7 linked regions of the Sus scrofa genome follow. The protein of the gene in region 1 purifies or fractionates together with the protein of each later gene. This does not show direct contact. Links are inferred from orthologs where the notes say so. Each region holds a gene or a part of one and is shown in the gene's direction. Other genes may lie near its edges.

What was found.
Region 2: the proteins of CSNK1D (region 1) and GAPVD1 purify together in Homo sapiens (affinity purification with mass spectrometry; 5 studies listed by BioGRID and IntAct, counting the BioPlex papers as one, with this or other methods). This does not show direct contact. The link is inferred for Sus scrofa from reciprocal best matches to the Homo sapiens genes CSNK1D and GAPVD1.
Region 3: the proteins of CSNK1D (region 1) and VPS13B purify together in Homo sapiens (affinity purification with mass spectrometry; 3 studies listed by BioGRID and IntAct, counting the BioPlex papers as one, with this or other methods). This does not show direct contact. The link is inferred for Sus scrofa from reciprocal best matches to the Homo sapiens genes CSNK1D and VPS13B.
Region 4: the proteins of CSNK1D (region 1) and PER1 purify together in Homo sapiens (affinity purification with mass spectrometry; 4 studies listed by BioGRID and IntAct, counting the BioPlex papers as one, with this or other methods). This does not show direct contact. The link is inferred for Sus scrofa from reciprocal best matches to the Homo sapiens genes CSNK1D and PER1.
Region 5: the proteins of CSNK1D (region 1) and ANKRD49 purify together in Homo sapiens (affinity purification with mass spectrometry; 3 studies listed by BioGRID and IntAct, counting the BioPlex papers as one, with this or other methods). This does not show direct contact. The link is inferred for Sus scrofa from reciprocal best matches to the Homo sapiens genes CSNK1D and ANKRD49.
Region 6: the proteins of CSNK1D (region 1) and SNX24 purify together in Homo sapiens (affinity purification with mass spectrometry; 3 studies listed by BioGRID and IntAct, counting the BioPlex papers as one, with this or other methods). This does not show direct contact. The link is inferred for Sus scrofa from reciprocal best matches to the Homo sapiens genes CSNK1D and SNX24.
Region 7: the proteins of CSNK1D (region 1) and CRY2 purify together in Homo sapiens (affinity purification with mass spectrometry; 3 studies listed by BioGRID and IntAct, counting the BioPlex papers as one, with this or other methods). This does not show direct contact. The link is inferred for Sus scrofa from reciprocal best matches to the Homo sapiens genes CSNK1D and CRY2.

Annotation. Positions count from the first base shown.
Region 1 is NC_010454.4:785,859-789,358, forward strand, and holds part of CSNK1D (casein kinase I), read left to right. Parts: intron 1-96; coding exon 97-245; intron 246-657; coding exon 658-886; intron 887-1,072; coding exon 1,073-1,243; intron 1,244-1,688; coding exon 1,689-1,837; intron 1,838-3,260; coding exon 3,261-3,432; intron 3,433-3,500. UniProt on the Homo sapiens protein: Essential serine/threonine-protein kinase that regulates diverse cellular growth and survival processes including Wnt signaling, DNA repair and circadian rhythms. It can phosphorylate a large number of proteins.
Region 2 is NC_010443.5:265,946,838-265,950,867, forward strand, and holds the start of GAPVD1 (GTPase-activating protein and VPS9 domain-containing protein 1), read left to right. Parts: upstream 1-1,230; 5' UTR 1,231-1,389; intron 1,390-4,030. UniProt on the Homo sapiens protein: Acts both as a GTPase-activating protein (GAP) and a guanine nucleotide exchange factor (GEF), and participates in various processes such as endocytosis, insulin receptor internalization or LC2A4/GLUT4 trafficking.
Region 3 is NC_010446.5:37,141,842-37,145,341, reverse strand, and holds part of VPS13B (vacuolar protein sorting-associated protein 13B), read left to right. Parts: intron 1-1,013; coding exon 1,014-1,277; intron 1,278-1,933; coding exon 1,934-2,017; intron 2,018-2,194; coding exon 2,195-2,370; intron 2,371-2,775; coding exon 2,776-2,946; intron 2,947-3,298; coding exon 3,299-3,500. UniProt on the Homo sapiens protein: Mediates the transfer of lipids between membranes at organelle contact sites. Binds phosphatidylinositol 3-phosphate. Functions as a tethering factor in the slow endocytic recycling pathway, to assist traffic between early and recycling endosomes.
Region 4 is NC_010454.4:53,373,924-53,378,000, reverse strand, and holds the start of PER1 (period circadian protein homolog 1), read left to right. Parts: upstream 1-1,277; 5' UTR 1,278-1,428; intron 1,429-1,657; 5' UTR 1,658-1,794; intron 1,795-4,077. UniProt on the Homo sapiens protein: Transcriptional repressor which forms a core component of the circadian clock.
Region 5 is NC_010451.4:26,633,394-26,637,415, forward strand, and holds the start of ANKRD49 (ankyrin repeat domain-containing protein 49), read left to right. Parts: upstream 1-1,222; 5' UTR 1,223-1,360; intron 1,361-4,022. UniProt on the Homo sapiens protein: Induces HBG1 expression. May have a role in spermatogenesis where it promotes autophagy in response to serum starvation, via the NF-kappaB pathway.
Region 6 is NC_010444.4:126,346,902-126,351,084, forward strand, and holds the start of SNX24 (sorting nexin-24), read left to right. Parts: upstream 1-1,383; 5' UTR 1,384-3,089; coding exon 3,090-3,149; exon of another isoform or gene 3,150-3,213; intron 3,214-4,183. UniProt on the Homo sapiens protein: May be involved in several stages of intracellular trafficking.
Region 7 is NC_010444.4:16,617,581-16,621,518, reverse strand, and holds the start of CRY2 (cryptochrome-2), read left to right. Parts: upstream 1-1,138; 5' UTR 1,139-1,197; coding exon 1,198-1,415; intron 1,416-3,938. UniProt on the Homo sapiens protein: Transcriptional repressor which forms a core component of the circadian clock.

The DNA of each region.
Region 1 (3,500 bases):
CCCCCACTCCTCATCGAGGGGCTGGTGCAGTTGGTCACTGGTGCCAGCGCAGTGCCCCAGGGTGGTGGGGGCGGGCTGACGCTGGCTCTCTTGCAGTGGGCATCCCCACCATCCGGTGGTGTGGGGCCGAGGGCGACTACAACGTCATGGTCATGGAGCTGCTGGGGCCCAGCCTGGAGGACCTCTTCAACTTCTGCTCCAGGAAGTTCAGCCTCAAGACCGTCCTGCTGCTCGCTGACCAGATGGTGAGAGCGCCTTCTCAGGTCACACGCTGGGTCTGGCTCAACAGTGCAGGGCCTGCGAGCGCATGGGGAGGGCAGGAAGGGCTCGGGGCCCTCCAGGGCTTTGTGTCCACAGCACAGCTGTCACGTCAGGCTGCGGCTGCCCCCCTGTGAGAGCCCAGGACGGGGCCGGAGGGATCGGCTCGGTGCCCCCACACGTTTTTAAATTGGTGTAGGATGCTGGGGGGTTTTTTTTGGCTGTGCCTGCAGCATAGGGAAGTTCCTGGGCCAGGAACAGCGCCCAAGCTGCAGCTACAACCTGCACCACGTGGGTGCTTCCTTTGTGCCCCTTTCTGACGCCGAGGGCTGCGGAGTGTGGGCACCGGTCTCCTGTGGGGCCCCCTGGGCTTTGACCTGGCTCCCCCCCTCCCCGCAGATCAGCCGCATCGAGTACATCCACTCGAAGAACTTCATCCACCGGGACGTGAAGCCGGACAACTTCCTCATGGGGCTGGGCAAGAAGGGCAACCTGGTGTACATCATCGACTTCGGGCTGGCCAAGAAGTACCGGGACGCCCGCACCCACCAGCACATCCCCTACCGCGAGAACAAGAACCTCACCGGCACCGCGCGCTACGCCTCCATCAACACGCACCTCGGCATCGGTGAGGCCTCCAGGCCCGGGCCCTTCCCGGCTGGGGTGGGGCGGGCGCGGGCTGGCTCCCTGGCGGCCCCCGCGACGCTGTTGCCGCCCTTGCCATCCGGGCTGAGAGCGCCTCCCGGCAGCACAGCAGGGGCGGCCTGTGCCGCGCAGGCCTGCGTGCCGCCCTGACCCTCGGCCCTCTTCCCAGAACAATCTCGGAGGGACGACCTGGAATCTCTGGGCTACGTGCTCATGTACTTCAACCTGGGCTCGCTGCCCTGGCAGGGCCTGAAGGCGGCCACCAAGCGCCAGAAGTACGAGCGCATCAGCGAGAAGAAGATGTCCACGCCCATCGAGGTGCTCTGCAAAGGCTACCCCTGTGAGTGTCCCGGGGACGGGGGGCGGGGCCCGAGGCTGGGGGGCGGGGCCGCCCACACCCCGTGAGTGTCCCAGGGACGGGGACCGAGGCTGGGGGGCGGGGTCCCCCACACCCCCGTGAGTGTCCCAGGGACGGGCCGAGGCCCTGCCCACACCCCTGCGCTGGGGCGGGACAGGGGCAGGTGGCCTCTGTCCCTAGAAGAAGGCTCCCCTGTCTTCCTAAGCCGTGCCTCCCGGGGCCCTTCGTTTTCATCGGGCGCCCCCTGGGGAAGGTTCCCCCAATGAAGCCTAGGCTCCGCGGCACTGTTTTCTCAGCCTCTTTGCTCAGTGTGTGCCCGCGTTTCACGTCCGGCACGTGGCAGGCCTGCTCAGGGGTCCTGCTGACAGACCCGTGCGGCCCTCGGTCGGGCCACAGCTGGTTACCCTGAGTTTCCCGTGTTTTGCAGCCGAGTTCGCCACGTACCTGAACTTCTGCCGTTCCCTGCGCTTTGATGACAAGCCTGACTACTCGTACCTGAGGCAGCTCTTCAGGAACCTGTTCCACCGCCAGGGCTTCTCCTACGACTACGTCTTTGACTGGAACATGCTCAAGTTTGTAAGTGTGCCACCCGCCGCCGAGCCTTCCCCTCCCTCCTCGGACGCCACAGGGCGGGCTTCGGGTGGCGTCGCTGATGTGGGGAGCGCGAGGGCCTCCGAGACCAAGAAGGCCCTTCCAGGACAGCCAGGGCCACGGGGGTGTCTGTGGTGCAGGCCTGCCCCCTGAGGTCACTGTCGTCGTCGTCGTCCATCCTGGGGTGTGCAGCCGGTGGCCTGGGTGGCCGGGTCACTGGGGCGTGGCTGCCCCCCTGGGGTGAGGACCTGCCTCCTCCCCTGCGCGGCCTCCGAGGGGCGCCATGTGTTCCCGAGGCGGGAGCCTGGCTGCGTGAGCAGGAGCCGAGCAGGCTGGCGATTTGGTGTTGCTCTGAGACAGGCCTCCTGTCGCTGAGTCTGTCGAATGCACTCGATCAGTCTTCGGGAAGCACTGCCGGCGTTCCAGTGTTTCATTCAAAGTTGGTTCTAAGTTTTTGGTTCTGCGCTTCAAGCCCAAGCAGGCACGTTTCTGGGGTGACGGAACCTGATGGGGACAGAACCTCCCCTTGAGGCCCCAGCGCAGGGCAGGCAGCCCCTTCCCGGGGCCTCAGGTGTGCAGTGCTCACCCCGGGATCAGGTGGAGGTGGCTGCAGCCTCCTGCAGTGGGGCCAGCGCCAGGCCTGGTCCGTGTCCCCTGGGAGCCAGGCCCCTCTGTCAGGGTGGCCGTCGGGACAGCCCCGGGGAGGGGGGTGTGGGTGGCCCGGAGTTGCCACCGCGCTGGACCTCCTGCCAGAGCCGCTCTGCCACGGTCTGTTCTCCGGAAGATGATTTCGGACCTGCCGTCTGCACCGTGTTGGCACCGCTGGTCCCTGTTGTGCCCAGAGAGCTGCCTGTGCGGTTTGGACGGAAGGGCGTGGCTGCGCCAGGGGCAGCTCGGGAGCCGGGGGCTGCGAGGGCCGGCGGGAGTGCCCTTGACTAGGACGGTTGCCAGCACCGCACTTCCTCAGGTGCCCCCAGGCTTCCGGTTACACTTCACTGTTCCGGGAGCAGCCCGGCCGCCTCGTCACCTACGCGCCGCCGTGACCTTCGCCTGGGGCTCTGGGCTCGGGGCTTTGGCTGGAGCCCTCAGCCGACCGAGTGCTGCTTCTCCCTCCGGCTTCACGGGCCCCGACTGTCGCGGGGCTGGGCCACCTCTGACCCAGGCTGGCTCCCGTCCCACGGGGCAGGGCCGCTGGGCGCCGCCGGTCCCGGCTTTGAGGAGGCGGCGGCTGGGGCTTTCTCTGCGCACCGGCGGGCCGGGCCGCCAGGTTCCGGGGGGGACCGCTGGGCTGCTGCGTGGCTGGCGACGGCTGCCCCGGCCCACGGACCCCCATGCCCGGCGTCGCTGGAGCAGTGGCTGAGAATCGCCGAGCCCAGTTCAGTCCTGGTCTCGCCCTCTTTCCTCGCAGGGAGCCAGCCGGGCAGCCGACGACGCCGAGCGGGAGCGCCGGGACCGAGAGGAGCGGCTGAGACACTCCCGCAACCCAGCCACCCGCGGCCTCCCCTCCACGGCCTCAGGCCGGCTGAGGGGGACCCAGGAGGCGGCCCCTCCCACCCCCCTCACCCCTACCTCACACACGGGTGAGTGTCCTGGCGCCCCAGCATGCGCCGCCACCCGCTTTGCCGGCGGCCGGCCCTCCGGCTCGCGT
Region 2 (4,030 bases), on another chromosome or scaffold:
TTTTTATGGTCACACTTGCAAAATATGGAAGTTCCTGTGCTAGGAGTCAAATTGGAGCTGCAGCACCAGCACACAACAGCCACAGCAATGCCAAATCCAAGCTGCATCTGCGACCTGTACTGCAGCTGGCAGCAATGCCAGATCCTTAAACCACCAAGCAAGCCCAGGGATTAAACCTGCATCCTCATAGACACTATCTGGGCTTCTTAACCTGCTGAACCATTTTATTACCATTCTCGTGGTAATAAAATGAGGTGATAAATCTGATGCAGATTTTGACAAGTTTTAAAGGTAATACATCAAGGAGGATGACTAAATGGAAAGCAGTCTGGGAGCTGAATCACATTTGAAATTGTTGGAAAACTGCTTGGAGATGCCTAGCGTTGGCGGATATAATCTTTGTGTTCAATTTTTGTACGGGCTGTCAAGTGGAAAATGTTCTATATTGCTCCAGGCAGCATAACCACTAGCAGTGGAAGGAAGTAAAAGGGAAGTAGATTTTGGTTCAGCAGGAGGCAGAACTTACTAACATTTAAAGCTCTCCAACGATGGAGCAGGCTGCCTTACTTAAGGAAGTGAGCTCCTTGAAATCTGACCTGTTGAAATGTAAGTTGGATGACCATCTGTCTTGGAATGTACAAAACGGAATTCCTGCCCCGGCGGGTGTTGGACTAATGACCTTCAAATGTCTTCCAACTGTAAGGTTTCTATGACTGCTCAGCTCAGTTAACTTGATATTTGAATATCTCTGAATTGCTTTTTGCAAACAATTTTGTTTTAGATAAATTGTCAATCGACCTAAAAAAACTCTATGGGCAAGATTACAATCAGTAAAATTTGAGAAAAGGAGTGGGAAATCAGGTTTAAAAGTGAAAATTCAGATATCGCTAAAGGCAATTCATGACCCTTTTAACAGAAAGGAAAAGGAGGGGTGTGTGTGTGTGTTTCGAATGATGCGTTCTAGGCAAGTGACAGCTGTTATTTAAAACATAAATGCTCTAAATTGTTTTACTTTATACATACTTGCTCAGACGAATTTTTCACATCCAGCAGAACCGTATGCGGAAGCAAGGTCCGTCGTGTGACGAACAATTTTCCGGAAGCCGTCGCTTGGTACCCCAGCCGACCGAGACAGCGCCAGCTCGCAGCCGACTGTCTGGAAAAAGCGGAAGAGGCACCCCTGGCTGCCGGGTCCCGAACTACCAGTCCCAGGGGTCCCCGCGGCGCAGCGCACGCGCCTTGGCGTGGCGGCAGCGCCGCCGCAGGACGCAGGGAAGCCAAGTGGCGGCGGCGGCAGCGGCGGTGGCAGTTCGCGGCGAGGGCGACGGTTCCGAGGCCGAGTGGCAGGACGGCGCAGACCTCGGTGCCTTTCTCTGCACGATCTTCTGGGTGAGTGCACGCCTCCGATCACCCCGTGCGGAGTGCGAGCTCCTTGCCTGGCGGCCGTGCTGCTCCGGCCTAGGGCCGCAGTCTGCGCCTGACGGCGGGCCGCCGGGTCCCGCTGACCCTTGGGCCCTGGGCCCTTCCCTCCAGTGTCGGGAGAATGGGGGTGGGGGGACACGGGTAGGTCTAGGGGAGAGATGTGGCGGCGCGCGGGGCCGGGACAGCCTGGGGCGGAGGAGAGGGAGGGGCGCGTGGGGGATGGGATGGTAAGGGACAGGAGGACCGCCGGGCGGCTCCGTGTGAGGGCCAGAGGCGAGCGACCTGGCAGCTAGAGAACTGAGTATGGGAGGCGGGGAGGAGGTGGAATGTCTCCTGAGTGCCGCTGGTGAAGACGGCTTGCTTCGGAGACTCTTGACAGGCTGGACTCAGGGGACGAGTCGTGGGGGGCTGTCCACCTACGGTAAACATACACTCCATACTTGGCATCTTTCCACTTCCTGTTGGAGGTCCGTAACGAGGAGCTGTTGGTTGCTCCCATCTCCTTTCCTTCCACTTCGCCTTTTACTGACTGACGAAATTTAAGTAGGGTGCTGGTTAGGCAAATCAGAGAAATAAGCAGGGTTGTGTGTATAAATCTGCACAAACGAGGAGGCATGGTGATATGTTCAGATGAGAGCTTGGTCAAAGGAGAAATCAATGTTTTGATGTTAAATTTTGTGACAGAAATCAGTTTGAGCAAGGCTTTGAACTAGAAATGATTTTCAACCTGAGATTCACCAATTGGTGGATAGAATTCAGAGGGTCCTTGAACTAGAATAGGGAATAAAATTACATCTTTATTTTTATTATTTAGCTATTGTCATTTCCTTCAGTTAGGAATATAGGCAACAAATCACAGTAGTTGTAGTAATGCCTGTGACTTTCTTGCAGATATTTTTGTGTCATGTTTACAGCTGCAGGTATCTCAGAATATCATATATGTTTATAATTTCTCTGAATTATGGTATTTTTAGACCCATTGTTAGTTCTTGTTATTTAATGAGATAATAAAGCTGCGCATACATCACAGTATTTGGGTTTTTCATTGTTTTGCTAATAGTTCAGTATAATTAATTTCTTTTGTAGTTGCATTTACTTAATTTTGCATTTAAAAGCAATCTGAAAAGGGGTCCATTGGCCTCACCAGATTGCCAAAGAGATCCATGGCAGAAAAAGATTAAGAACTCCTGAAGCAGAAATAAGTTTTGGGGATGTATAAGTCTGCTTGGAAGAATATTTGAATCATTAGGTAAGAAAAAAGTCAAGGCAAATAGGATGACAGTGCAGAGGAAAGAGGGAATTTTTATTTTATTTATTTTTTTATTATAGTTGATTTACAGTGTTCTGCCAATTTCTGCTGTACATCAAAGTGACCCAATTACACACATATATACATTCTTTTTCTCACGAAAGAGGGAATTTTGTAATCATGGAAGTAGGAGAAAAGATTTGACTGGGATCAGAGTAATAGTTTTGAAAGATAGCGTAGATCACAGATATTTCATTCAGGGTACTAGTGAATCGGCAGAATAATCTGAGGCAGAAAGGGAAGTGAGTACTTTGGCCCTTAGATTTTTTAAAAAAATTTTTTGATTGGAGTATAGTTAACTTACAAGGTTGTGGCCCTTAGATTTTTGTATTTAGGCACCTCATAGTTCCAAGTGGTCGAAGCCCTCCAAACTCACGGAAGCCTGTGAAAGAAAATTTTAGTGTGTGCTGGTTTTCTTTAGGTCGTAGGTAGAGTGGCCTTTGAATGGGGGAGGAAATTCTCATTTTTCTATTCTTAAGTGAAAAACTGCAGAATCTCTCTTTCAGGTATATTTTCTTGTTGCTCTTCTTCTTTTCCTATATGTTAGAAGGTAAATGTGCTGATTGTAGAGTTGGAGAGTTGCTAAGTCATTTTCTTGACATTATATTGTAAATTCTTGTAGTTCAGCTTCCTTTTGACATCAGATTTCTCACTGACAAGTTACTCTTAACATTTTTTCAGAGTATGTGTGACTTGAAATTTGCCCCTGTTTGTAAAGCACTTGTCAACATCCTGTGTAGGATTTTTTTCCTCTAAAATAATAGCAATATTGGAAAGCCACTGCAACAGGCTTTTTTTGGGAAAAGATTAAGGAGAGGGTGCGGAAAGGTGAAGAAGAGTATTTTGTGAAACAGATGTTGGTGCCCAATTAGTGTATGTGGAATTAAACACCCCGTGTTACAAATCAGCGCCTCAGAGAGGTCTTGCTTGATACCTTCCGTGTCCTTACACTGCCCCTTGGGTCATTCTTCCTCCACTCCCCCCTTTATTTTATTTATACCATATATCTACGTGGCATCCTGTTATTTGTATATTTACGTATATTTATATATACAGGGTCAAGACAATTTAGGTTGGAGATACTGCTACTAAATGGGAGAGTGAGAGATTGGGGAATGCTCTGTGGAGGAGATGGCACCTGAACTGGACCTTCAGTCATAGATGTGATCAGCTATAGGGATGTTGAAGAAGGGCTTCAGGTGAAGGGACCAACTTGAACAAAGCCAAGGACAGAGGAGTTTGTAAATCAAATAGAACATCAGCCTCCCTTCCTCTCCCCTCTCCCTCCTTCCTTCCTTC
Region 3 (3,500 bases), on another chromosome or scaffold:
AAGTGTCGGCCAGTTACTGGGCTTGAGCCTCTACTCACTTTTCCAGGTAAAGTGCCTTTCTGTCTGCACGTTTACAAGGCATTTATTTCACCAGTATTTTATCTCCAGCCTCTCCTTCACTCTCAAGCACATGACCGGTATTTCTAGCTGGGCATGGATCCTGCCTATACTAGTTGAGTCCTGCAAAGGCCTCATGACCAGAGCAAAGTCCCTTCTCTCCTTCCAAGCCTCTTTTTCTTCTCATACTCTCTAAATAAGCCTATGATTTCATTTTCTTTCCATGAAAATCAGCACAGTTTGCTCCGTCTGAACAATTACATAAGGCGTATCTTGTTTTATTGCACTTTGCTTTATTGCACTTCACAGATATGGCATTTTTACAGATTTAAAGTTTGTGGCAACCCTGCATGGAGCAAGTCTTTCAGAGCCATTTTTCTAACAGCAATTGCTTACTTCATGTCTCTGTGTCATTTGGTAACTCTAGCAATATTTTTCATTTATTATTGCATTTGTTATGGTGGTCTGTGATCAGTGATCTTTGATGTTACTATTACAAAAAGATTACAACTCACTGAAGACTCAGATAATGGTTAACATTTTTTTAGCAAAAAGATTATTTTTTAATGTATTACATTGTTTTGTTTTTTGTTTTTGTTTTTTAAAGCAAAATGCTTGGCATACTCAGTAGTTTACAGTAAGGGGTTCCCTGATGGTCTAGTGTTAGGACTCAGCACTTTCACCTCCATGGCTCGAGTTCAGTCCCTGGTTTGGGAACTGAGATCCCACATCAAGCTGCTGCATTCCGGGGCAGAAAGATGACAATATAGTGTGAACAGAACTTTCATATATACTTGGAAACCAGAAAATTTATGTAACTGGGTTCATCTTGATATTTGCTTAATTGTGGTGGTCTGAAACCAAACCTGTGGTATCTCCAAGGTATGCCTCTATTTCCAATGCATGGAATCTGAATTGATGAAGTCTCATTGATTGATTGATTGATTGTCTTTTAGATTATCATCTGTGGAAGACAGATTATCTGTAGTTACTTGTCTCAAAGTATAGAACTAAAAGTTGTTCAGCATTACATTGGTCAAGACGGACAAGCTGTGGTTCGAGAACATTTTGACTGCCTCACAGCCAAGCAGAAATTGCCTTCATACATACTCGAAAACAGTGAACTGACCGAGTTGTGTGTGAGGGCCAAAGGAGATGAAGACTGGTCGAGAGACGTGTGCCTGGAATCCAAGGCCCCTGAGTATAGCGTTGTCATTCAGGTATGAGAAGTAGTACCATCTAGAATGGTGCGGCTTTAAAATTTAAAATTTCTCATTATGTTCTTTACTCAGCACCCCCACTCAATTTATTAATAAGTGACATGTACAAAAGAGAGGAGTAATATAACAAGGCTTTGAATATCACTTCTCAAACTCCCTCCTCCCCATCCCACGACCACACAGTTGAATCACTTCCAGTATCCAAGACTCTAACCCTCCCAGATGGAGATGGGTTACATCCTGAAAAAGATTCTGATGTACCAGGGCTTTGGGGGGATGGGAGGGAATAAAGGGTGTCCCCCCCACTTGAGAATCTTTTTGATGATCTGCTACTTTTTTATCTCTTTCTCCATCTCTGCCATCACATTCACTCCCATAAAGGACAAATCATCTCTTTCATTCTCCCACTGACTCTTGAATCAATCTCTCTGCGTACACATCCCTTCATCCTTATGGAACGAATTGGGCTCCTTGACTCACTGCACATTCACGTTAGGCCACAATGAAGTTTGATTTTGCTTGGTTATTTTAACGTGGCTTTTTTTCTAACATTAGGCTTTCTGTATCCTCCAGACAGATATTATATCTGTGTCTCACTTGGATTAATTAGTAAACTTTTTAGTATTTAATAGGACCCTTTTCTATCTCATGTGCAGGTGCCATCTTCAAACAGTTCCATTATTTATGTCTGGTGCACAGTTTTGACTTTAGAACCCAGTTCTCAAGTGCAACAGCGAATGGTAAGTGCTTTGCAATCCTAAAATATGGTATATGACTCTGACCTTTCCTGTTCTGAAATAAATTAAGGTCAGAGTGACCCAGGGAAGAGATTTATTACAAGTTTGTTTCGGCATCGAACAGCTGGAATACTGCAACAAAGCAAATATGAAAGTTGTTCTGTCCTTTTATTTTTATAGATTGTGTTCAGCCCTCTTTTTATCATGAGGAGTCATCTTCCAGACCCCATTATCATACATTTGGAGAAAAGGAGTCTTGGATTGAGTGAAACACAAGTTATTCCAGGAAAAGGACAGGAAAAACCACTGCAAAACATAGAACCTGACCTTGTACATCACCTAACATTTCAAGCAAGGTACTGGGAAAGTCCTTATATCTTCCAAGAGAGATTCCGTAGAAATGTAACCTTGTCCCACTGAGGGGAAATGGGAGGATAGAGGGTTTTCGTATGATTTCTTATCTTAGGAGAATGTTGTTTTAAAGTTGCCCTGTCTGGTATTCTCATATTCTATAGATAAAATTCAGCACCTTTAGAAATAAATCAGAGGGATGATCAGAACATTTAATTGACACATCATTTCTGTAGAGGAGCAAGAGATGAACCTCACAGGCGTTGGGGGGGAGGGGGAGGCCACAGCCCAGATTATTCTAAAACTGTGTCATCATCCCCAAATCATCAAACATTGACTCATTCTCACGAAAAAGTATTGGTTTATAATACATCTGATAATCACTCTTGCTTTTTCTTTGTGTTCTCTAGAGAAGAAGATGATCCATCACATTGTGCCGTCCCCATCTCAACATCCCTCATTAAGCAAATAGCCACTAAGATACACCCAGGAGGGACAGTTAATCAGATCCTCGACGAATTCTATGGGCCAGAAAAGTCCCTTCAACCCACGTGGCCCTATAATAAAAAGGATTCTGACAGGTATGTTCTCCAGCAGTCTTTGTCTACAAACATTGCTCAGTTTTAAGGAGTGAACAACCATTCCCAAAAATGTTAGATACCATAAAAATGTTTTTAAAAAGATATTTGTATATATATGCCAGATTCTGACCTTTTATCACCTAATAGATGTATTCTGTAGATTGCTTCATTCCTAATCTAGAACATAATTGCATGAAAAGCTTTTCTCCTGAATGCAAATGCAGCAAGGCATGACTCTAGTGTGAAGAGGTGTCATACAGGAGCGTTGTGTGTCTGGAATCCTTAAACACACTTCATGGATCCAGAAGTCATCATGTTTCATTGAGTCTCTTGGATGTGGTATTTGGCATAGGAATGAGCAGCTGAGCCAGTGGGACAGCCCGATGCGAGTGAAGCTGTCAGCCTGGAAGCCATATGTGAGGACCTTGTTGATAGAACTGCTACCCTGGGCCCTGCTTATCAATCAGTCCAAGTGGGACCTCTGGCTGTTTGAGGGAGAGAAGATTATTCTACAGGTTCCTGCTGGCAAAATTATTATCCCTCCTAATTTTCAG
Region 4 (4,077 bases), about 53 Mb from region 1:
TCCAGAAGGGTTAATAAATACTAATTGAACAAAACGGCTCAGGGAGACAGAGGTGAGTGTGGTGTGGAGTCGGCTGCAGGGCTTGCCACCCCTGCCCTGTGTGCAGTCAGACTGGTGACTCTGGACCCCCACACTGAACTCTTAATCTCCAGCAACAAATGCAGCCGATGTGGTACCCTTGCATCTCTGACCCCGGGCACTTCAACAGTAGGTGGGAGTGCTAGGTGAGCTCCGGAGGGCCCATTTTTCTGGGCGGCAACATGAGGGTTCCGCATAGGAAATCTCGATAATGTTTCCTAAACTTGTCGGCTCATGAGAACTACCAGGAATGCTTTTTAAAATAGATTTTCAGGCCCCTTCCCCGGAGATTGAGTCAGCAGTTGTAAGGGACCAAGTGATTCTTATAATTAGGTATACAGTCATTATCATAATGTTCACCATTTGTTGAGGGCTTACTATTTTCAGGACAGGTACTAAGAGCCTTTTTACCCTTCATCTACTGAGTTCTTTACAGGCTTAGGATTCCCGCAGGCTCTTGGACCCGCCTTCTTTATGTGGGAGATCTGGGTTCAAATCATGATCCCATTAGAGACTAGCTTGTTCTTCCGGACAGATTATGTAACCTCTCTGAATCTCAGTATCATTAGTGAGGCGGTGGGAAGTGAGCCGCCGCCTCTTCCGGCTTTATAAGAAGCGCGTGGCCTGGCCACAGAAAATAATCTGGGAGGTGGCTATCATCTTTTTGTCATCATCGTCACGCGGTACGGAGACCTGAAGACCGCTTCACCTAATGCTCACACCTTCCAGCTACTGGGAGTTTCAGGTCCAGAGTCCCAGCGCGGGGGCGCTCTTGTCACGCACGGGACGGCTCTCAAAGCGCCCCCCACAAAGTTACGGGCGCTCACATCTGCGCCTGCGCAGACTCGGCAGTCTAGGGTAAGAGTGTCGTCAAGGAAAATCCCCAGCTTCTAGGTAAACAACTTGCCGCGTGAGACCGCCTGCACGTGTCCTCTACAGCTCCGGAATGTCTCAGCCTATGAGAAAATTGGGAGGGCTGGACTGACGTTTGCGTCACCAATCTAGGCAGGCCGGGGGTGGAGTCACAGCCAATAAGAATTTCGGATGTGAGTGGGGGCGTGTCTTTCCTCAGACCTCCAATCAACGCGCTAGGGCGGCCCCTCCCGCACGTGGATCTGTCGCTTGGTAGGCAAACTGACCAATGAGAAGGTGACGGCGGCGGGCGGTGCCAATGGTAGCTGGGCGGAGGCGGGGGGGGCCCCGCACGCGGCGCGGGGCATGGGTCGGCGCCCTTAGGCCAATAAGCTTGAGGGGCGTGGCGTCCTGGTCGGCGGGCGAGGCTGAAGGAGCGAGTCCAAGTCTCCGAGATCCTAGTTGGGAAGAAACTGTACCGCGCGTGAGAGCCGAGCGGTGAGTGCTCCGGCGTGGTGGGGTGGGGAGCGGGGAGCGGCGGCGATTGGTATAGGTTTTTCCCGCGTGGCGTAAGGAGGAATGTTAATGCAGTACCGTGAAGGAGAATGTGTGGATATGTGATCGCCGCGGTGGGAGCTCTAGTGGTTGCAGGGAATAGGGGCCGCGAACTCAGTTCTAGAGAGAAGGGAGCAGGAATCACTGATTTAAGATCCCTCGCTATTCCAAGGTGCCTGGATCCCTGACTGCCGCGGGGAGGGGTTCGGAAGCGTTCGGCAGCCTGAGGGAGCTGAGACCTCTGCTCCCAGGAGGTACCGGACCCTTTAGAACCAGTGGGGGACGTTCCAGTGCGTGACTGTTGCTCGGGTAGGTGCCTTAAGCACTTGAAAGAGGCCAGGGCGGTGGAGGGAGAAGTTCTCGTCGTTGTTGCTTCTTCGGTTAAGGACGCCGTTTCTGTGAGGATGCAGGTTCTATCCCTTGGCCTCACTCAGTGGGTTAAGGATCATCAGCTGCAGCGTAGGTCGCAGATGCAGCTCGGATTCCTTGTTGCCCGTGGCTGTGCCGGTTGCTCCAGCTGCAGCTCCGATTGAACCTCTGGCCGGGGAACTCATGCCTCATTTGCGGCCAGCAGTAAAAAGGAAAAAAAAAAAAAAAGCAGGAGTTGTGAAGCTAGAGAGAGGCCCTGGTAGGGCAGGTGGGTGGGTACCAAGGGATTGACAAGGTGACTTGAAAAAGGGTGGTGTGATGATTTATGTGACCCTGAGCCAGTCACATCTTGGCTGTGGCTCTGGATGTCTCTCTCATGTGTAAAAAGAAGGGGTTGGGCCTCGGAGCCATCCTTGGGAGTGAGCGTGGGGTAGGAACTATTGGATCTCAAGAGGGAGGATGGATTTGTGCAGATTGGATGCACGTGTGTCTTCCTGAGTCCTTGGAGGGGAGGAGGCAGGAACTGGGTGCTCTGGTATCTGTCTGTACAAGTAACCAGGCCTGTGGTAAAGTGACCTGTGATGAGGTGGAGGAGTCAGGAAGTGGGGTTCCTAGCAGATCACTGGGGCTAGTGGCTGCCAGGGTGATCTCAAGGACTTTGTGAGAATATGAAAACTGGGACAATGCGATTTGAAGTGTGTAGAGAGTGCAGACTGACTGTTGGGGCGGGGGGGATGGCATCTGTGTTTCAGGCACCAAACTCAGAATGGGCTGGGTATTTGAGAGGCCCAGGTCCCCCAGAGGTGGTAACACCTCACAGGTTCTTGAAGGGTAAGAAGCCAGAACGACAAGCCATTAACAGAGTTCAGATTCGAATCCTGGGCCCCATTTGTTAAGAGTCAGAGAACATATTATGAAGCAACTTAGGCAAGTTTAGTAACTTCTGAGCCTTAGTCGGTCTTTGTGCAATGGGGATAATGATATCTATCTCACAGGCTTGTTCTGAAGATTAAATAAGTTAATGTATGTAAAGTACTCAGCAAAATGCCTGGGTCATATTTAAAAAAAATTTTTTTTAGCTAAAAAATATGGCTGTATGGTGACAGTAACAGGAATGGGTGAAAGATTTCTGTGAATGCTGTGGTTAGGGACTGACAATGCTCACATTCTTAAGCTTTTTTGCAACTTTTAGTGACTCCCTCCCTGTTCTCCTCTTCCTGGTTCTTCTGGGCTGGAGCACCAGCCCCAGTCCCTCATTCCTCTCTTTTATCCCTCCCCCAAGATCCAGGCCCCAGGCTGGGCCACTTGCTCTGTCCCAGTTCGATTTCCTCATCCTTGACCCATTCTCCTCCCTGTCCCTCCTCCCTCTCTCTGCTGCCATGGTAACAAGACATTCAGGCTTTGAAGGGGGCCTCAGGGAAGGAGCAAAGGTGCGTGTTCTCTTGCAGAACCTGGGCCTCCAACTTCCCCGCCCTGGCTCTTTGGGACCGGGCCAGCAGATGTGTACAGTCTGGGAGGGGGGAAAGCCAATGCCAGGAGCTGTAGGAACCAGCCGAGGGAGGGTGGATGCGAGTCTCCAGAAGAGAGCCTGGAGTGGGGGCGGGGGAAGCACCCCTTCCTCCTAATCCTCTCTCCAGGAATCCCTGGCTTTGGGACCGGACGGCTGTCGTTGGGTTGGGGGAGGCGCCCAGGCTGGGTGCATGTCCTGGGCTACCAGCCAAAAGAACATGATGTTCCCAAGTGCGCTGGCCGCCGCCCTCTTGGGCTGGCCGCCTCCCAAACCGCTGCCTCTCCGGCCTCCCTGCCCCACATTCCCCGGCTGCCTCGCCCCGCCCCATCCTCCGCTTTGACGTCACCGCCGTCTCCCGCCCCCTCTCTTCCATTGACGGCAGCAGGGCCTGGTTACTGTGGGGATCGGGAGGCAGGATCTCGGTTAGAGCCTTGAGAGCAAGTGGGAGCTGCTGGAGCCCTGGACCCTTTTGTCCACGCCAGAGAAAAATATGGAGGCGGAGGGCAAGGACTGCCTGTGTCGGGGGAGGTCACATCTAAAGCCCTGAGGAGTGCTGAGGACGAAGAAAAACCGTGTCTCCAGAAGAGGTGTCTGATAGGACCAGGGATTAGGCCACAGTATAGGAGTTGGGGGGACATTTTCAAGGAGAGAAGACTGAGAATCCAGGCTTCCGAATCCTTTATTTTGTGTTTTCTGGCTTTGTTTTTTTCTGG
Region 5 (4,022 bases), on another chromosome or scaffold:
AATATGCCAATCTACCGCAAGACCCCCACTATAGCTACATATTATCTTTTGTCAAAAACCATACAGTATGATATTTACTGACATTCCAAACATCCTTTTTGATGACTAACACTTCTGTTCATAGGCAAGCTTTTGATTTACTCGTAATTTATTACATAAGTTTTCTTTTATGATGATCATAGTTGATGGGATGTAGAAACCCAAAGCAACAGAGATTCTGGAAGACAGGAGCTTACAGGGTATCTGCAGGACTCATTTCTGCGGTCAGTCCAGCTCCTCCCGGATCAGTTTTCTCTCCAAGTACCCCTGGGTCCTGCGATCAAATGTGTCAGAAAACTCACTCGATTCCAAATCCTAAAACAAAATTATATTATTTAAAACACATTTTTAAAAAGCAGACTGGTAATTTTGGAAGTCTCATTTTCATCTAAGCACCTACTATACTTTTTTAAGAACAGAAAATAGTGTCTCCAGTGCCATTCTAGTTTGACCACTATGTTTCAGCTCCTCTCCTATTTCCCTTCACCATGCCCTGTGGGAAGCTAACTTCTGTTAAATGAATGGGCAATAAGGGTCACACCCAGTTCTGTTTTAATACATCAACAACTCTCCATGTGCCGCAAAGTTTAAGTTGCATAGACAGGCTACTATGAAGCAGGGAAGTGACGCCGGTATTTCCTGCTTAAACACAGAACTGTTTTTAAAGAAATGGGCTTGTTTTGATAAGAGAAGGGCCCAGTGTTTAAAGCTGGTGTAAATAAACAGAAACACGTGGTCTGCGGAGAGACAACATCAAGTGTCAGCAGCTTAAGAAAAAGGGCCAGGCTTTTGCGGGAGGAGCGCAGCCACCGCGGAACGGTGGGAATTCCAAGCCTCAACAAGCCCTCACCACTGGACTATCGGAAACCAGAACGCGCCAACCTCCAAGGCTCCTCCCCAGCCTTCTCCGCCCATTCTTGCCACAGGGTCAATCCTCTCCGAGCCCGGGATACAAGAAACGACTCCTAAATTACCCCACACCGGGACTCTCCAAAGCCCCACCCTGGGGACCCGAAGTTGTGTTTTACCCGGGAAGAAGGAGGGAGATCCGCGAGAAAAAAGGTAACGGTACAGCCCGAGCTGGTCTCTCAGTATAGGTTTGGCCAAAGACCTGAATTAGGCGGGAGAGAAACAGCAGCTTTTTCTCGCGAGACTTCATTGATGACGTAGTACTTTAATTCTTCTCATTGGTTGAGGATGCTGTGAGGTCGCAGGGAAAGTAGCGGCGACGCCCCGCCCTCTTAGAAGAGCCAATCCTGAGTAGCCGAGGGGACGAACCCCGGAAGCGAAGTTCCCGGCGGCGATTTCCCCCTCCCGCAAGGTAGGTAGCTCTTTCTTATCCGGGGTCCGCTTCCAGCTTGCTTGGCGCCACCTAAGAATTCTTGGGCTCAAAGGGGCGGGTCACCTGTCGACCCCTGCGGAGCCCTGTAAATAGGGCCGCCGCATGGGTCCTAGGTAGAGCAGGAGCGGCTTCCTTGTCCTTAGCAGTTTGGAAGGCCGCAGACTCGACTTCCTGGCCAGTGAAGTGACCGGCGGGGACTGGTGGCCTTCTAGCCTCACTCCCACTCCCGAGATTGAGCATTCGGACTCTAGTTTGCAGGCCTTTCCCTGCGTCCTCTTACTGTCTCCCTGGATCCTTGGTTCAGCACATCTATGTTGCTTTGTGCAGACGGCAGTAAAACAGGGTGCAGTAAAAAATAATGTGAAACTTTTGAATTAGAAAATATGGACTTTCAGTTTCATTGAAAGTTGTTTAATCTATCTGAACCTCAGTGCCTTCACCTGTAAAATGGGGTTTACACACCCCCCACCCCTGTCACTGGGTTGTTTGTGAGGAGTTGATATAGTTTAGATCTCTATGGAATGTGATCTTTAGCAAAACATAGACTGTTTCTTCCTGGTGGGGTATCATCAAATAGGAGTCTTGATGGACTCTTTAAATCCTGAATCAGGAATATGCATCTCGGTTTAACTTTTTAAATCCGCTACAGAATCTTTATATGTAATTAATTTTATCTGGAACAGTAAATTCAAATTATAAGGAGCTTTTTTTTTTAAAGTACTGGATTTATTTTATTTTTTTAATGATTTTTATTTTTTCTTTATATTTGATTTACAGTGTTCTGTAGTTTTGGGGTTTTTTTTGGGGGGGGCAACACCTGTGGCATATGGAGGTTCCCAGGTCAAATTGGAACTGCAGCTGCCACCCTATGCACAACAACACCAGATCCAAACCATGTCTGCGACCTACACCACAGCTCACAGCAATGCAGGATCTTTAACCCACTGAGCAAGGCCAGGGATCAAACCTGAATCCTCTTGGATACTGGTAGGGTTCATTGCCACTAAGCCACAATGGGAACTCCGAGAGTTTTCATAAAAAGGAGGGGGGGGCCTTAAAATTTGTGCTATAATATTACTATAATTGATATAATTAACAAGTGAACTTAACATTATTTACTGGTATTTATTTAGTGTTTAATGAGTAGATGTATGATCTTTTATGTCGTAAGTTTCAGAGAATAATTTGAGAAAAAAGGAAAAAGTGAGATTATTAGAACATAAAGCCTTTCTGACAGGGTCTCTCTGTTGACTCTGAAACCTGGACAGTTTTTGGAAATCCTTTAGTAAAATTCTTATATTGTGCAACAAAGAAGTAAGTCCAGAGAAGGTACTGATCATATGTGATAGATTTAAACTTGAGTTTACTGCTCTTGGCACTAGTAATAAAGTGTAAAATGTAATGATGCATTTAAGATTGTATCAACTAAAATTTGTGAAATTAGGTAGGAAGAAATCATTGTGTTAGTGGTATGCCTAACTCTTGAGCTTCTCAGAACTAATTTCAAGTAAAATCAAGTGATAGGGCTTTAATTCAGTTTAATTTTGCAAGTATTTCTCTCTTTCTTTGTCTCTCTCTCTCTTTTTTTTTTTTTCTTTTTTCTTTCTTTTTTTTCCAAGGCCGCACCTGCAGCATATGGAAGTTCCCAGGCTAGGGGTTAAATCAGAGCTGCAACTGCCAGCCTACAGCATAGCCATAGCAACCAGGATCTGAACCTCATCTAAAACCTACACCATAGCTTGTAGCAACACCAGATTCATAACCCACTGAGCGAGTCCAGGGATGGAACTCACATCCTCACAGAGACTATGTCAGGTCCTTAGCCTACTGAGCCACAGTGGGAACTCTGAATTCTACAGATAGTTCTTAACACCTGCTGTATATAAGTGGAACACAAAGGTAAGTTAAATATAGCTCCTGTCCTTAAGCTGACAGTATTTTAAGAGGCTCAAACAAGAACAAAATTAGATAGTATGTAGCAGCAAAAAAAGTAGAAACGAGAGATGATTTGGAAGCTCAAGAAAGATTTAATGAGATAGGCAACCTCTGAGAAGAATCTTGAAAGACTGGTAAGGTTTCAACAAATATAGTTGGGAAGCCGAGAAATAATATTTTTTAAATATCTATGATTCTCATCTCTTTTATTGAAGTTTAATATGCTGAGTAACTCTCTAAGTTGATATTGGTTTATAAATTATTATGGCAGCCTAGCAGAGTAAATATTTCCTTCAGGAAGCCTTCTCTAATCCCTTAGGACTGGGTTAATGGCCTAGGTTATGACCTTCCTGTATATTCATTGTATCTGGACCTGGTCTTATCATGGTACTCATTACACTGTGTTTGCCAGTCTCACTGACTAGAGAGTAAACTTTTTTTTTTTTTGGTCTTTTTAGGGTCACACCTGCGGCATATAGAGGTTCCCAGGCTAGGGGTCAAATCAGAGCTGTAGCCGCTGGTCTACACTACAGCCACAGCAACACCAGATCCTTAACCCACCAAGCAAGGCCAGGGATCGAACCACAACCTCATGGTTCCTAGTCGGATTCATTTCCACTGCTCCATGATGGGAACTAGACAGTAAGCTTCTTGAGATTAATTGTTCATTATTGAACAATACTCAGAGACTGGCACAGACCAAAAA
Region 6 (4,183 bases), on another chromosome or scaffold:
AGGCATCTCTCTAGTGAGCAAAGGCTGTGTCAAGGGGTGTGTTTAGAGGTGGCTCTGGGCTCAGGATGACCTTAGGCAATCTGTCAGCTGATATGGCTCTATTCCCACTTCATTGGTTGTTTGACCTGAGGCTTCCCAAAACTGGAGCCTGTAGGCTGTTGGATAAAGCCAGGTCTCATTTCCAAAATGGTGACCTCTGGGGGAGTTCACCTCAATGATTATTCCCTGGGGCCTCTGCAACTAGTGTCCTGCCCCCAGAGTGAGCCATAGCCAACCTTTGCCTCCTTAGGGGACATTCCAAGACCCACAGGTAGGTCTGTCCAGATTCCTACGGAGTCACTGCTCTGCCCTGGGGCCCAGCACAGGAGAAACCTTGTGTGCACCCTCCAAGAGTGGTGTCTCTGTTTCCCCGGGCCCTGTGGTGCCCTTCAAAGCCAAATGCTCTAGGGGCTCCTCCTCCCTATACCAAACCCCCAGGCTGGGGAGCCTGACATGGGGCTCGGAACTCTTACTCCTGTGCGAGGATCTCTGTAATACAATTATTTTCCAGTTTATGAGTCAACCACCAGTGGGTATGGGATGTGATTATACTGCAAAATCACTCCTCCTACCATCTCATTTTAGCTTCTTCTTTGTCCTTGGGTGTAGAGTATCTTTTTTTTGGTAGGTTCCAGTCTTCTTTGTTGATGGTTGTTCAGCAGTTAGTTGTGAGTTTAGTGTTTTCATGATCGAAGGTGAGCTCAAGCCTTTCTACTCTGCCATCTTGTCTCCTTGCCTCATCAGTCCATGGAATGTTAGTGGGCGGGAAGTGAGAGGAGAGTGTCATCTGTGGGATCTGGCTTAGGCTCTGACTTTCTCCTCAGATGCTGCTTGTCCTTGGAGAGTAAGTAGACAAACTGAGCAGATCTGAACTCAATTTGGTCTGCAGCACATCCACCCTCAGCTGAATTCCTTCTTTTCTTGTTTACTCTGAGACACTTCTTTAAAGGGAAGTGACAATTTTTTTAGGCTTATTCTTTGGTGGTTGTTGGGCTGAACCCCACAGGCCTGAAAAGACTCTACTTGCCCAGCTTTAAGAATGAAGAAAGAGGAGTTCCCGTCGTGGCGCAGTGGTTAACGAATCCGACTAGGAACTATGAGGTTGCGGGTTCGGTCCCTGCCCTTGCTCAGTGGGTTAACGATCCGGCGTTGCCGTGAGCTGTGGTGTAGGCCGAAGACGCGGCTCGGATCCCGTGTTGCTGTGGCTCTGGCGTAGGCCGGCGGCTACAGCTCCTATTCGACGCCTAGCCTGGGAACCTCCATATGCCGCGGGAGCGGCCCAAAGAAATAGCAAAAAGGCAAAAAAAAAAAAAAAAAAAAAAAAAAAAAATGAAGAAAGAGCCCAGAGTCAGCGACAGAGACAGTGGTGTCTGATGGATGGGGACATTTACATGTCTGAAGCAAGGTCCTGGTATGACAGCTCATCATGTGGGGCAGACATCAGGGCAGGACATGGCAGCAATCTTCCCTCTCAACTTCTTCTTCTTCTTTTTCTTTTTTGGCCACCCCACAGCATAGGGAGTTCCTGGGCCAGGGATCAGATCCAAGCCACAGTCGTGACCAATGCTGCAGCTGTAGCAAACACTGGATCCTTTAATCCACTGTGCTGGGCTGGGGATGGAACCTGTGTCCTGGCACTGCAGAGACTCCACTCATAATGTCACACCACAGTGGGAACTCCTCAACTTCTTATGTATGTATTTGTCATGTATTTTTCTTAATGTTCTGAGAAGACAGCTGACCTGTCACAGATTGTAGAGTCATACTAAAAGATATGTAAGAGCATCGGGATAATACATTTGCCATGTTCTCTCACTGCAGTGCCATTCTTCTTTCCTTTATAGTGGTTGCCCACAGAACGTGATTAGAAATTTAGCTCTTCTAATTATTAGCCTGTAATTTCATAGCTATTTATCCTCTCTGAGCTTTAATTATGCCATCTGAAATAACCAAAATTATAACAATTATAGCTGAACTGCAAGACCCTCAAGAACATACCCGCATATTGAGGGCTTGCATATATTTTCAGCAAAGCAAAATTAAATTATACACAGTTAGTAAAATACAGCAAAAAAAAAAAAAGGGGGGGGGAGGATTCATTTGGACCACCTGTCAGATTTTTTTGGACTGATACATTTCTAACTTTTAACTCTAATGGGTAAATAGGTGAGCCATGCCAGATAAAAATATATATGTCAGGCTACTAGTAGTAGGCTGTTATCGTTTGTGCTATTGTATAAAAAGTATAATAAAAGCTTGATCAGTAATCTGTAGCTCAAAGCCCGAGGGGCAAATCTCAGCCCTCATCTTCCCCTCCCCCTTCTCTTTTCTCTTACAGGTAAAAAGATCTGTGTAGTTACTTAGACGCAGCATTTTAGAACTGAAGCAAGAAACCGGACTGTTTATCTCAGTGAGCCGCCGACCTTCGGGCTATGCATTAGAGCATGATTCCCAGGTTCGACAGCGAAGCAAAGCAAGGCACTGACCCTGGAATCGAAGGGAAACAGAAAAGTCTTCGTAAAAGTCGTGCAGGGTTCACGGCTCTTCATGGCAGCCGAGGGCTAAAAGGAAAATTTAACCAAAACAAAATCAAGAAGCTCTTCTACTCCTTGGCGTCTTGCAGTCTGTTCAGGGTGGTGTCTGGCAAACTGCAAATCCAGTGCACACTGGAGCCTCAAGGGCAGGGAGCGCCGGGGTGCGGCCCTGTCCCTGGCGCCCGACCGCAGTGGAGCGCACACCCCTTTTTTGCAGACTCACAGGTTTCCAGGCCCCGCCTCCTCTGGGCACTGCTGATCGCCGCGCTTTGGGCCCGGAATCCAGACGTCCAGAGCCCTACGCCCTCGGTTCCCCACACTGGGCTCCAGGCGGGGCCCTCCTAGAGCGCTGCGAGCGGCGGGGTCCGCAGAGGATCCGGGTCGGAGCCACGTAGCCTCCAGCTCCGTGGGGCTCGGGAAGGGAGGCGGGGCGGCCGGGCCGGGGGCGGAGTCGCGGCCGCGGCCGCCGCCGTGAGCCCGCCCCCTGCTCGCCCTCCCGGGCTAGCTGGCGCGGCCATGGAGGTCTACATCCCGTCCTTTCGCTACGAGGAGAGTGACCTGGAGCGGGGATACACGGTAGGCGCCGGCTGAGGCCGGAGAGGGCCCCGCGAGCCGGGCCTGCAGCTGCTGAGCCTCCGAGGTGCCTTCGGCCGCCGCCGCTGCCCCTGCGCGGGGTGGGGTGGGGGGTTCCCTCGCTCCCTTCCTTTCCCTTCCCCTCCCCCGGTCCTTTGGTATGGCTGCGCCCAGGAGTGGTTGTCAAGGAAACGGGCGCCCTCCTCCCTGGCGCTGGGTGCCGGGGTTTGGTCGCTTCCCCCTCCCAACCCCGCTCCCGGCCTCCCAGCAGGATCGCCGGGAGTCGAGTCCTTGGACGAGGTGCTAGGCACTCTCCCCGGCGCTTGCCCTCTGGAGCCCGGGATGGGCTGCGCTCGTTTCTGGCATAGCTGCCCCCTCTGTCCAGACAGAAGTGGCGTCGCGGTGGTTTGATGTTACGTTCCAAGTTCTGTAGGATTCATTCAGATGGAAAATATGCGCATTGAATAAATTATTCATTTGTGAATTTATTAGCCAAAGTGAACACATGTGTTGCATTTAGATGATTTCCAAAGTTTTATTTGTTTGGTTGTTTCTTTTTTCCTGGTTCTGTAGTGCCCTGAAATGGTAAAATCACGTACTCCCTGAGCACCTGTTCCATACCTAGAACTGAAGTTTGGCAGGAAATGAGAAACAGGGCCCCTTTTCTCAAGAATAGAGTCCCGGAGGGCAGAGACCAGGGCCTGGGACCTTTGGGTAATAAATTTAATAATGAACTGTACTGAAGTTGATTTCCCAATGAACTTAGACATCCTTATCTAGACATTTTTATCATTGCTATGGGGAGAAATGCCTCAGCCTGGGTAGACCTTGGAAAAATTTATTTCCATTTAAAGAACATGTATGTTTTGGAGAAGATCGCATGGGACGTCCTAAAGGATAGTTTATTTTCTTCACTTTTAATTCACTCACTTGCTAAACTCCAGTTACATTAGTTTGGCGTAAAAGTATTTTAACCCTTCTCATCCCTAAAAATTATTGGGTTTTGGTGACAGCTTATTTGGAAACTTGTGTTTTCA
Region 7 (3,938 bases), on another chromosome or scaffold:
CACATCTCTGAACCCCACACAGACTCCAGTTCAGTCCTTTACACTCAGAGTTACCCCTAAGTCTATGACAGAACTAAAAGAAAAATTCATGTGATGGCTTTTTTTTTTCCCTCTTGCTTTTTAGAGCATATCTGCAGAGTTTGGAGGTTCCCAGGCTAGGAGCTGAATCGGATCTACTGCTAGCCACAGCAACTCAGGATCTGAGCCGCGTCTGCAGCCTACATCACAGTTCACAGCAACACCAGATCTTAACCCACTGAGCAAGCCCAGGGATCAAACCCTCATCCTCTTGGATACTAGTCGGGTTCATTACCGCTGAGCCACAAACTGGGAATTCCAATGATGACCTAATTACAATCTCAACCCACATTCTCCACAATTCCAGTCCCTAATCCCAACCCCTCTACTGCAGCACATCAGGGCCCACACTTTGGACTCTACTACTTGTAAATGCCAAGTTGCTCAACGCTGACAGAGGTGTAGTATTGTGGATAAAAGCAGAAACTTCAGATTCTGAATAATCCTGGTAGAAGTATTAGCTGTATGATATTGAGCATGTTACTCAACCTGCAGCAGCCTCGGTTTTCTTTGTCGGTAAAATGAAAACAGCTCTTTCACTAGGGTTTGTTGAAAGAATGCAACTCGTCTGAGTTTACAGCAGTAAAGGAGACAGCAGCGTAAGGGTATTATCACGTTGGTTGGCATCTAATGGAAGCTGTATTAGAATGCTGTAATGATGTATGTATAGAGTGTGGTAGATGATTATATTGATGACGAAGATGATGTAGGACAGCCGGTGGTCTGTCCTTTTAAGTCATTTGCTGGAGTCACAGCAACCCTCGCCAGCCCACACAGCTTCCAGCGCCAGGCCCTAAAAAAGGAAGCTGAGCTCCGCCGTTCCTCGGACTTGGTCCACGCCCAGACCTCCTTGGGGACCGCCAGCCTGCGTCACTAGCCCAGCCCTCCGGCTCCTCCCGGCAGGGCCCACACATGGTGGGAACGTGAGGAGGCGGGGCCAGACATGGTGCCTCTAACCAATCGCCCGGCAGGAGGCGCCCAGCCAATAGCAGAGGCGCTCCAGGGCCTGAGGGCGGGGCTCCAAAGAGTAGCGGCGCGTCATAGGTCACTGGGCCAGCTGGGGGCCGGGCTCGCGGCGCCGACGGGGGCGGAGCGGCCGCAGTCAGAGCAGTCCAGGCAATGATGGCGGCGGCTGTGGCGACCGCTGCGGCGTCCTCCCCGGCTCCCGCTGCCGGCGCGGAAGGCGCCTCTTCGGTGCACTGGTTCCGCAAGGGGCTGCGGCTCCACGACAACCCGGCGCTGCTGGCGGCGGTTCGCGGGGCGCACTGCGTGCGCTGTGTTTACATCCTCGACCCTTGGTTCGCGGCCTCCTCTTCAGTCGGGATCAACCGGTGGAGGTGAGGGGGCCCCGGGCGGGTTTGCGGGTCCGGGGAGCGCAGTCTAGCCTCTGAGGCACGTACCCTAAGAGGGGGGAGGCTCTGGCCCCAGTCCCCTCTGCTGAAAGCCCCCGACCTGAAAGAGATGGGGCAGGGAGGCGCAGCTGAGTCTCCAGTGGGGAGAAGCCGCGACGTGGGTAGCAATTAGTCCCATAGTTAGGGCTTGGGTGGGCCAGGGCTCAACCTCTGGCACGGCGCGTTCTCACTGTGTTATCCCTTTTGGTCCTCACGACGTCCCCGTGAAACAAAAATCATGATCCTCATTGTACCGATGAGACTCTGGAGTCTTAGAGATACAAAGTTGACCTGCCCAAGGACTTGCAGCCGGCGAGTGGCAGAACAGGGACTCCTGGTCTAGGGTTCTTAGGGTTGTGCTCAGGGAGGGGAGGACGGGAGCTATTGCGGTATGAGGGCCGGGACAGGTTTCTGAAATAGCACGGCAGACACCTGCATTCTTCAAGAGCGCTCCTGAAGGTCGTCTTAAGCTTAAGCCTCTGGTTTGTGTGAATTCATTTTTTCACCTATCCTGTCTTCCTTCCACCAAGATCATCCAGTCTCTGGAGGTGTCTAGAGACTCTGACTTAGCATTAGGTAGGGCAGGTGCCTTTGCTCCTTTATTGTAAATAAAAGAACATGCTCTCAAGGGCACGTTCATTGAGAGGCACTCTGTGTCCTGGGCTAGAGAGCAGACAGCAGTACTTAACCTATTTTGGAGAATTCCCTCAGCAGCTATGGGCTTGCTAAGGAAAAAAGCAGGAGGGGGGAGGAAGAAGAAAAAGAAACAAAGAGTCCCTTACTTCCTCCTCTTCTCTTGAGATTGATTTTAAAGGACAGTTGAGCCTGTAGATTAGACTCTTGTCAGCTGATGTGCTAAGATTTGGGAGCAGGCAAGCTGTGATACCAAGGGGCCCTCTTTGATGACTCCCAGGATCATGGGAAAAGTTTAACAGGTAGTTGATGTGTTTTCTCCATAACCAGTGTTTAAAACAAAGGTGTTCTGAGACATTGTGTACCCGTCTCTCTTTAACAAGTCTGGCAGTCGTCCTCTAGTTTGTTTGCATTGTTCTGGAGGTGTTTGCTTGTGGCCTTGTTGCACTGAGGGGCAGAGTTATTCCCAGGATACGCTGGCTCCCCATTCTTTCCTCTCCAAGGTGTGTGCCCTGCTAGGAGAGTGAGTGCTTCTAGCAGTGGGTCTATTAAATGCCCCCCTCCTGCCCCATTTATATGGAGGGAACAGCTAAAGATAGTTCTGTGGAGAGCCTGCCCACACAGTTTTCAGTCTGCTCTATTACTCGGCCCTTGCTCCAGTTTCTCTAGATAGGAGGTTGGGCTGACAAACATCCTCAAATGACCAGCCATCCCTAGTGTGGACTTAGCTTGGACTAAGCCTCAGACTTTGCCCCTCTCCTGATGGCAGTGTGCCAGTCAGAGCAGAGTAATTAGACTCCAGACTACTTGTTTGTTACATTGTCAAGGAGTTTCTTCTTTTATGGGATTTGAGGAATGTGGCATAAAATTGCCTGTTCCTTTGCAGTAGTGGAGATTAAAAATCAACAACAGGTGGTCCCATTGTGGCTCGGTGGTTAAGGATCCCTGGCTTCGCTCAGTGGGTTGAGGATCCAGCATTGCCGTCAGCTGTGGTGTAGGTCACAGATGCGGCTCGGATCTGGCATTGCTGTGGCTATGGCTTAGGCTGGCAGTTACAGCTCCTATTTGACCCCTAGCCTGGGAACCTCCAAATGCCGCAAGCGTGGCCCTAAAAAGACAAAAAAAAAAAAACCAACAACAAAACCTCTGTTGCTTATTAAACTCAGATTCTCTAGAAACTAGGTATTTAGAGATTTTTGTGGGTCACCCTTTTGTAATTGTGCTGTTGAGTGAGTAAAAGAAAAAGAATGTGGCAGCTCAGATGCCTATATCAAATCCTGAAGTCAGAGGCTGTGTAGGAATGCAGATGTTAATTGAGCGTTTAATGAGCACCTAATATCTGCCAGGCACTACTCTAGGGGCTGCTAGGAGCACAGCAGGGAACAAGCAGATGTGTCCAGAGCTCCTGGAGCTTACATTTTCATGTAGGAAGACAAGCAAACAGCTATAACTTGGTAGAACTAAGTGCTGTGAAATAAATAAAATCGGGGACAGACTGTAGCAATGGGTGTCAACCTTGCCACGCGTGAGAATCATTTAAGTATCTTTAAAAGATGGCTGGGCCCACTTCTCTCCCAATTCTGATTTCATTGACTTGGGTACTAGGGTCTTTAAAGCTGTCATGTGCAGCAAAGCCAGAGAAGTGGACCACAGAGTCCGGCAACTTGGGATATGTGTTGCAGTGCATTGGCAGGAAGTCTGATTGGTTTTGGTATCAGAAGAAAGAGGTGAAATAACACAAAGCAGATTGAATACAATAAATGCTCCTGGGCCTGGGCACAGACACACACCTACCACCGCCTCTATACTCTTTGCTCTCAGAATCAGAGTGAGGGC